2 linked regions of the Oryza sativa Japonica Group genome follow. The protein of the gene in region 2 interacts with the protein of the main gene of each other region in a pairwise test. Links are inferred from orthologs where the notes say so. Each region holds a gene or a part of one and is shown on either strand. Other genes may lie near its edges.

Region 1 (4,585 bases), on a different chromosome or scaffold from region 2:
AGACGGGGATTCGAGCTAATAACATGGCTAGAGGAAGATTCAAGCAAGGAGCACGTTGGGATGCCACCGCCATCGCTCTGCTGCGCCGAGAAGAAGGTAAGGGAGAGAAAGCGAGTGAGGGGTAGGGAGCAAATAAGAGCATCTCCAACAGCCTCCTTATTCCCCTCTCCAAGTTAAATTTGGACAATTTTGGCTCAATTTCACCCTCCAATAGACTGGCTATCCGGATGGCCAAGCCATCTGGCTGGCCAAAGTCCTCCTCCCACTGGCCAAATTTGGCCAGCCAAAATAGCCTAGCCAATCGTGGGCCCCATGCCAACAGCATCCCTCTCCCCCTTTCTCTCTCCGCTACCACGTCGTCGAGATGCCATTGCTGCAGTTGAGGTCGTCGTTGCCGGACGCCGCCGCCGTCGGCGCAGTCGCCGTCACCAGATCTGCTGTTGTTGGGCGCCGCCGTCGTCGCGCCGTCGCCAGATCCTCGAGGGCGTCGTTGCGCCGTTGCCAGCCGTCGTCGGCGCCTCGCCAACCGTCGTCTCCGAGGTGGTCGTTGGCTGGCGTCGCCATCGTCATCGCCAGATCCGTCGCCAGCCGAGGTTGCCGTCCACTACCGTCGTCTCCGAGGTCAGCCCAAGCAGTGGCGGCGGCGGATGGCGAGCGGCGAATGGGGATGGGGCGGCGGTGGCGGATGGCGAGCAGCTGATGGGGATGGGGTGGCAGCAGTGGCGGTGGCGGATGGCGAGCGGCGGATGGGGATGGGGTGGCGGCGCTGGCGGATGGGGATGGGGATGGGGCGGCGGCGGCGGAGAGGACCAGCTCTCACCTACTGCGAGCTGAGCAGAGGGGCTTGGGGAAAAGGAGGAGAAAGATGAGGAGGAAGAAAGGGTTGTAGAGACTGACACGTGGGTCCCACTGTCATAGGTTTAGAATAGAGAAGATGAATGGAGATGCTGTTGGAGTAAATAAGAGTTTGACTGGCTAAATTAGATGGAGAGTTGGCCAAATAGACATTTAGAGAGTTAGATTTGGAGAGACTGTTGGAGATGCTCTAAGAGAAAGATGATATGTGGACCCCCCCCCACTTTATTTCTTAATTTTTTTAATAGTAGTGCTGCCACGTGGACGGCACATCAGCGAAAACCGTCTTAATAAAAAGGAGAGAGCGATTTTAATAGTTGGGGCTATCGTTATACCCCGAGTTTTATGATCGAGGGAGATGAATGAGATCTGACCATTAGTTAAGGGAGTCAGAGTGAACTTATTCCTCTATCAGCAGGGTTCGTTCTGATGATTCATATAGGCCCAGGACGCCCAGGATTTGACGAGGGCCACTTTAATTGCTCCAGGAGCGGAACTTGAGCCCATTCATTTTTATTCCGGGTGAGGAAGATGGGCCGGTCCCCGTAAGGCTTGAGGCCTTGTGGGCCGCTTCATCATCATCGATCTATTATGGACGTACAGTAAAAGGTCAGTCAGTCCCGGGCTCTCGCCCGGTCGGCGACTATGGACGTTTCCGCTGGATCCCTTTGCTCCTCCGAGGGAACCAATGGAGACGGTCCAGACGGAGACACCCATCGATCCGCCACCATCAGCAGAGGACGGCACACGAAACCAGCCAATGCTTTCGCTGTCCATGGGCCTCGCCCGCCTGGCACCTTGTGGCATCGCATGGCGTTGGCGTCACCACCCCGCTCTCGGCCTTTCCGTTTCTGCCTCTGCTGCCCACAGCCACCTTCCTCCCGTGCGTTGTGTTGTGCGTGCCAGATTGGTAGTAGTAGGCTGGTAGTAGCGCAGCGGTAGCCTCCTTCGTTATCCCCAAACCCCGCGCCGACGGGCGTCCTCCTCACCGACATTTCCTCCCACCCCCGCGCGCGCCCCGCCGCCTTTCTCGAACCTCCGCCGCATTCTTGTCACCTTGTTGATTCTTCATTCTTGATTTGTTCTCCTTTTTTTTTTGGTGATTTTGTTGTTTCTTGGCCTGCTACTGTTGGCGGCGGCGAGCGGTGGTCACCGGCCGTGCGTTCCCTTCTTTCTCCTCAGCCCTCGGCTCCCCCGCCGGCCGGACACGCCGCCGGAGCTGAGTTGTTGAGGTTTTGCAGGTATTGGTGATAAACCCTAGTATAGTTCGCTTGGGTTCTTGGGGATTTCCCTCCTCCTCCTCTTTGCTGCCGATCTAATCCAAATCTTCTTTCCCTTCTTCCAGGGAAGGGATACACTCCGATCCCCAATGCCCCGCGTTTGGTCCGCCCCTGCATCCTCCTCCACAGATTGCTAGGCTTCACCGGAGATGATGGCGGCGCCGCAGCTACCGTGCTGCACTCGCCTCGCTCCGCCGTGTCCCGGGAAGGCGGCGGCGGAGGCAAGAACCCTGGCACGTTCACGGTTCAGGTGCTGTGCGGGGGCCGCGAGGCCTCGCTCGTTCCAGAAGAAAGACTCCTTCCTGGACCTCCACCCTGAGGTGACCCTCCTCCGCGGCGGCGACGAGGCGGCCGTCGTCGCCACGAGGAAGGGGTCTCCGAACGGGAGCCCGCTGGAGGGGCTGGGCGCGCCGCCGGATCACTGCGATTACGACGGGGCCAAGATCAAGGTCGTCGGGGTCGGCGGAGGAGGCTCCAATGCCGTCAACAGGATGATTGAGAGCTCCATGAACGGCGTCGAGTTCTGGATTGTGAATACCGATGTGCAGGCGATAAGGATGTCGCCGGTCCTTCCGCAGAACAGGTTGCAGATTGGGCAGGAGCTGACTCGGGGTCTAGGCGCAGGTGGAAACCCTGACATTGGGATGAATGCGGCGAAAGAAAGTGTCGAGTCCATTCAGGAAGCTCTTTACGGTGCTGATATGGTTTTTGTCACGGTAAATGCTTCCCCCTAGATGGTCTCTTGACTTGTGAAATCATCATACATTGAGGTATGTGATAATAGTCTTTTGGTGTCCAAACTGCAGGCTGGGATGGGTGGAGGCACTGGAACTGGAGGTGCCCCTGTAATCGCTGGAATTGCCAAGTCCATGGGTATACTGACAGTTGGCATCGTGACGACACCATTCTCATTTGAAGGGAGGAGACGGGCAGTTCAGGCTCAAGAAGGAATAGCAGCCTTGAGAAATAGTGTGGACACCCTCATTGTCATCCCAAATGACAAGCTGTTGTCTGCTGTTTCTCCAAATACTCCAGTAACCGAAGCATTCAACTTGGCTGATGATATTCTTCGACAAGGAATTCGTGGTATCTCTGATATTATCACGGTAAGATAATGTCTGCATATAACTGCATTGGTTTGGTAGTGAAAGTTGGAATGCGGAAGTATGATGTGGATTAATTGAGCATTTCAGTGCTATCTAATTTGTATAAAGTTAACGGACTCTTCTCCTTTGCAGGTTCCTGGGTTGGTTAATGTTGATTTTGCTGATGTTCGAGCCATCATGCAAAATGCAGGCTCATCCTTGATGGGTATTGGAACGGCTACAGGTATTGCATTTGGACAAGTTTTATCTATGTATTTCTTTAATTTGTCTTTTGGAATTGTGCTTTCTGGAATTAGCATAAACCATAATACGTTATGATCCAACTCCCTTCTTTCTGTATTTGCTCTTTTCTGGAATTAGCTCTTCCTTGATGTTCGAGTAGTTTTCCCCGCAAAGATTCCACTTGGTAATTATTTCCCTATGTTAATAAGTATGTCTACCTTTTCTTTTTCTTACATTGGTCTCATTATTTCTCTTATGGAGAAATCTAAGTGGAAAGTGCAACAGGTTCTTGTATTGTGAAGGGATTATGCAATAGAGACAAACAAATCAGTAAAAGACATTAATTTTTTTTATACGAAGTAACCAATGGATGATATATGACAAGGGGAGTTATGAATTATATAGTACATTGTGATGTTTTGTTGTTTCCACAGGGACCATACATAGCTTAGATTGAATTTTACCCATATGTTTATTTAGCATGTTATTATAAATTTTCAGGGAAGTCAAGAGCAAGAGATGCTGCTCTTAATGCCATTCAGTCACCACTGCTAGACATTGGAATTGAAAGAGCTACAGGCATTGTGTGGAATATCACTGGGGGAGCTGATATGACTTTGTTTGAGGTTTGGTTAATCTTTTTCTAGTATGTTTGCATCATATTTTCTGTATGTTATCATGCATCTAACATAACATGAATAACAATCAGCTGAAAAAGGAAATGTTAGGAGACAGCAACTGCAATTCTTTTTTGTTTGTATGTGATAGTGAAATGTTGCTATATTATTCACTCTACAGCATACATACTGCTGATAAGTGTGGTTGAGTAGCTAAATTACCTTCCAATCTACCATGGGGCTATATTTCAAATGCTTGCTTGATTTGAAGCTCTATCTTTCAGGCTTTACTTGGTTGATTTTCAAATAGCCCAAGTGACAGGCTGAAACACTGATTCCCTGTTACAGTACTACATGTAACACAATCTTCTTTAGTTAGTTCAATGCATCAATGTGTTCAACTTAAATGGTTGATCAAATTTTGGAAGTCTGTAAGTGGCATGATAAACCACTGTCTTGGATCTTTTTACACCATAGGTCTGTCACTCTATCGCCTTAGCTAGAT
Region 2 (4,328 bases):
GCCAGCTAGGAAGCATGAAAAGTCAAAGTTTTAAACATCACCTCTTGCAATGATGCAACCGAATGTTCTGGTCCCAAGGCCTTAGATTTGATACTCTGCCACTTGCGAACAATATCTTCTGCCAGCTTCGCATCCATTCTAGGAATATGTACTGGATCTTCATCTAGTGCAGGATCTTCAACATTCATCATGCAAAAGTTAACTCTCTATGATATACATTACAGAATTATAGTAGCATTGTGTATGTATGAGACAAAAATATTTGATGTATAGCTTTGTTAAAACATTAATGCAAAGCTATAAGATCAAGAACATACTGTAATCAGCCAACAAGGATACCCAGTAAACACGTGAGCAGTAAATTCCAGTGTTGTTTGACTACTTTAGCAAATGAAAAGCATTTACTCACCATCAGTAGAGTCGACACTATTAGCAACTGCCACAGATCCATGCTCACTCCTAATAGCAGAAAGGGGCCTCTTACGAGGCAAATATTTGGCCCCAATTACTGCCAACAGTGCAAACAGTGCGCCAGCAGAGATAATCTTCAAGGCGGCATTTCTCGAATCATGAGCAGGTGCATTTTCCTGGTCAAAATTTTCAAGATATCCCCCAGGGCCATCTTTAGTATTTTCCATGGCTGACCTGTCTAACTGTTCTATCAATGGAAAAACCTTGTTGAACGCTTGAATAGCATTTGATTTCACAGTACCAAGTGCAGCTGTAGCTTGAGCACCAAGTTTTGCAATAGCAGCAGCAGCAGCCAAATGAGAAGCACCACCACCCTCCATCCTTTCTAGGTAGCTTAAAACTTCTGGATCATCGTAGTAATCTCCAAGTCTGAACTGCATGCCCCGAGTATCTCTGCTCCTAGGAAAAACCTCAAAGATAAGCCAAGTCTCCAAAAGCTTGCACAGCCCTGGAAGAAGATCATTCTCTTCACTGATGCTAGAGTTGGTCACAATAAACTCTAGAATTTTGGGGTCTCTGTATGGTGAAGACTCATTATCAATTCCAAGCCACATTCTGCACTTGCTAACATCTCCGACTAGCAATGAGCAGAATGCCCTTTCCAATGCAAGGTCCATCTCATTATCATAAGCATAATGAGAACCTATGTTGAACTTCTGGAGTTGTTCAAAAAGATCATCCGCCATCATGATGAATTGTGGCCTTTTACTTATAATTGCTTGAGCGACATGTGCAAGTGCTACATTGTAAATTTCAAACCATTCAGGAGGAATGCTATTCGGTGTTTTTGAAAAGAAATCCATCTGGGAGGTGTAACAGAAAGGGAGTTAACATGTTTTCAAAGATGTGCTCCTGCAATATAAATAGGCAGCTGCTTCATAAAAACAAACATGTACGAACCTGTTCAATTGATGTCATCCTCAAAAAAGCCTCGTTCATGAAGGCTTCACGAGAAAATCCTCCTCCAACGGTAGCAATACCTCCTCTGCCAACGCTCCACAAAATGTTTCTCGCACCTTGAAGCCCTTCTTGGCGCTTCTTATGATGCTCTGTGTCAATAGGAAGGGAGAGAAGCTCCAATACACAGCGAGGTGTAATCTCCTCGAGAGTTTCATCAATCTGTGAAAGCAGATCAGGTGCGAGATTGCTTGCTCCATCTTCCTACAGTATGAAGTTCCTATTAATATTGCTTCAAGGAAATCACCATTCTTATTAAAAAAATATAGCCCATGTGTCCCAAACCAATCTTCACAGGGTTATTTAATCTTATCCTATTCAAATATAAGCCCAATGAAAAAGTAGGGAGTAAAAAAGCAAACAGTTCACCTGCAAGAGCTTGAGAGCCCTCTCGAGCACCTCGCAGCAGCCAATTACATCTGGAGGGCTTGCTGCCATAGCATCCCTTGATAGATCCACATAAGCCAGAGCCATCGCTAGCACCACGTCCTGCTTGAAGCGCTTGGGTGGCCGATCCAGAAGCAACTGTTCTCCAGTTACAAGCACAGCAAGTGCCTCCCCAGCCTCCTGAAGCGCACACAACACACCTGGAACCTGCTTCACAAGACACCCAATATATTATAAGCAGAGAGAGATTATACACTAGTGCTATTTGACAAGATCCAAACACACCCTTTGCTGCCCCCTAAAGCCTCACCTTGTCCCAAGCAATATCCATGGTGAGAGCTTCTTCACGGTTCTCAGAAAGCGCACGATCATACTGAGTGCGGGAGTTCTGGTTCATGAGAGTGTCATGGGCAATCTGCAGCATTTGTCGACGACCAACAAGAGCATCCGTGCTGTAGCCATACTGCGGTGGCTTGGCTATCCGTGCCTCGAACGCCCTCCTGATGCCATCGCCAAGGAAATGTGGCTCTGCCCCTAGAACCTGAGCAAAGCCAGATTCAACAAAACATTTCGGAAATAGTCAAAAAGGCATGATCTCTCACTAGCCCCACACACACATGATATAGGCATAATTCGTATCATAGTATGCAGTGGATCACAAATGCGATGGATTCGGCATTGTAGTCAGTTAATAACCTAGTGAAGTGACACTACGGAAATAGCAAATAACTCGATTTCATGGAACTGAGGGATCAGTAACCTAGCAAAAGACTTGCAGGTGGAATAACGTTTCAACGATTTAGCAGTGACAATGTATCATCACCTACCAAGAAGGCAAGAATCATGCGCTTTTTTTTATCTACGGGATGATATTCCGAGGTCCAAATGATGAACAAACCGCAGCAGATTCACGGGGCCTCACCTTGTAGAAATCGACTTGGAGCGGGAGGGAGCGTTCGGCGGCGTCGGGGAAGAGCGGGACGAAGGGGGAGGCGGAGGGCGCGGCGGCCGGGGCCGGGGCCGGGGACGGCGGGTCGGAGGGCGCGGCGGTGGGGAGGAGGTGGAAGTCGGCGAAGAGGCGTTCGGCCCAGCGGCTCGCGGCGCGGCAGGCAGCGGAGGGGTGAGGCGGCGGCCTGCGGCGCGGGCGCGGGCGCGGGCGAGGGAGGGAGAAGGCGAATGGCGCCGAGTTGGGGCGGGCGAGGAGGTTGTGGAAGCCCTCCATTAGCCGCCGCGGCGGCGGCGGCGGAGATGGAGGGGGCGGAGGAGAGAGAGGTTTTAGGAGTGAGGGGGAGAAGAGGGGGAGCCTTGCTGGCTTTGGCCCTTGTTTTTTTTTTTGCTGTTGTTTTCTTGTTGCTGGATGATCTGGGTGCATGATTGGAGACTTGGGCACTTTGGGAGATTTTGCTAGGTCCAGTATTGAGACACCAATTTCAAAACTAATCTTGCTAAGTCTAATATTTTAGGGTGTGTTTGAAAGGAGAGGAAAGAAGAAGGTTAAGGAGATATGCAAAGCGAAGTGAGTCATTAGTGCATGATTAATTGAGTATTAATTATTTTATAGTAAAAAATAGATTAATATGATTTTAAAAACAACGTTCCTACTTAAAAAATAATAAAAAAATATATTGTTTAAAACTTCAGAAAGCGTGCGCGTAAAGAACAAGGGATTTTTTTTCAATCAATCAGATGCAAACAAACAACACATTATAACCTCATGTTCAAAAATAGACTACAGATTTAAGTCTCGGATTTTAAATTTTGGTTATATTTAATAAGCTAACAGGCATATGAGGAAAGGCTAGACTTTGTTTAAGAGCCAAGTTTTTTACTGGTTTGGAGTCGGGTGTGAAAGTGGAAAGGCTTGTTTAAAGTTGTAATCAGTTTTGGTTTGTTTAAAAGCAAGGTTCTTATCGAATGGTTGTTTGGGTTGAAGCTTTTTACCCAAAGCCCATCATCTTGCTAATTAGACTAAAGGCTTTCAAGTTTCAACCAAATATAAGCAAGAGATCCTTCATCAAGTCATTTAAAGGCAACTTTGGCTGATCAGTTTAAGCATGTTGATTGACACTTTTTAGATTACAATGCTACCAAGTGACAAGGATATACCCCCTCCCCCACCCCACAAAGTTGACGATGTTGGGCTATGATGGGATATCATCAAATCCTCCATCTAAAAAGTGGCAAACCATCAAACTCTCATGTTTCAAATGTTTTTTTTGGCTTAAATTTAGATTTTTGGGGGCTAGTTCTTTTCAGGTCAATGGATAAATTGATGATGAGTTATATTACTTCACAGTAATAATACTTGACGACAAACGAACGGATTAACTATTAAAAAACAAAAATATTGTTTTAGAAAATATTATAGGAGAGTGAAACTCATATATAGAAAACTTTTGCAACAATTACACTGTATAAAAACTTACGAAGTGTGTTCGTGGTAATTCATAATCCATAAGAGAGAAAAAGGGACCCTTAAGAGTTGATTATCCATGTCCATTTTCTCAAGCTCA

The links.
Region 1: the proteins of protein ACCUMULATION AND REPLICATION OF CHLOROPLASTS 6, chloroplastic (region 2) and cell division protein FtsZ homolog 2-1, chloroplastic interact in a two-hybrid assay, tested with the Arabidopsis thaliana proteins (3 studies listed by BioGRID, with this or other methods). The link is inferred for Oryza sativa Japonica Group from reciprocal best matches to the Arabidopsis thaliana genes ARC6 and FTSZ2-1.

The regions. Positions count from the first base shown.
Region 1 is NC_089037.1:25,859,328-25,863,912, forward strand, and holds the start of cell division protein FtsZ homolog 2-1, chloroplastic, read left to right. Parts: upstream 1-1,759; 5' UTR 1,760-2,096; intron 2,097-2,200; 5' UTR 2,201-2,284; coding exon 2,285-2,851; intron 2,852-2,941; coding exon 2,942-3,241; intron 3,242-3,373; coding exon 3,374-3,464; intron 3,465-3,964; coding exon 3,965-4,089; intron 4,090-4,585. UniProt on the Arabidopsis thaliana protein: Exhibits GTPase activity which converts GTP ligands to GDP.
Region 2 is NC_089036.1:1,186,511-1,190,838, forward strand, and holds the start of protein ACCUMULATION AND REPLICATION OF CHLOROPLASTS 6, chloroplastic, read right to left. Parts: upstream 3,093-4,328; 5' UTR 3,038-3,092; coding exon 2,738-3,037; intron 2,357-2,737; coding exon 2,126-2,356; intron 2,023-2,125; coding exon 1,798-2,022; intron 1,633-1,797; coding exon 1,372-1,632; intron 1,275-1,371; coding exon 410-1,274; intron 176-409; coding exon 42-175; intron 1-41. UniProt on the Arabidopsis thaliana protein: Component of the plastid division machinery consisting in a binary fission accomplished by the simultaneous constriction of the FtsZ ring on the stromal side of the inner envelope membrane, and the ARC5 ring on the cytosolic side of the outer envelope membrane.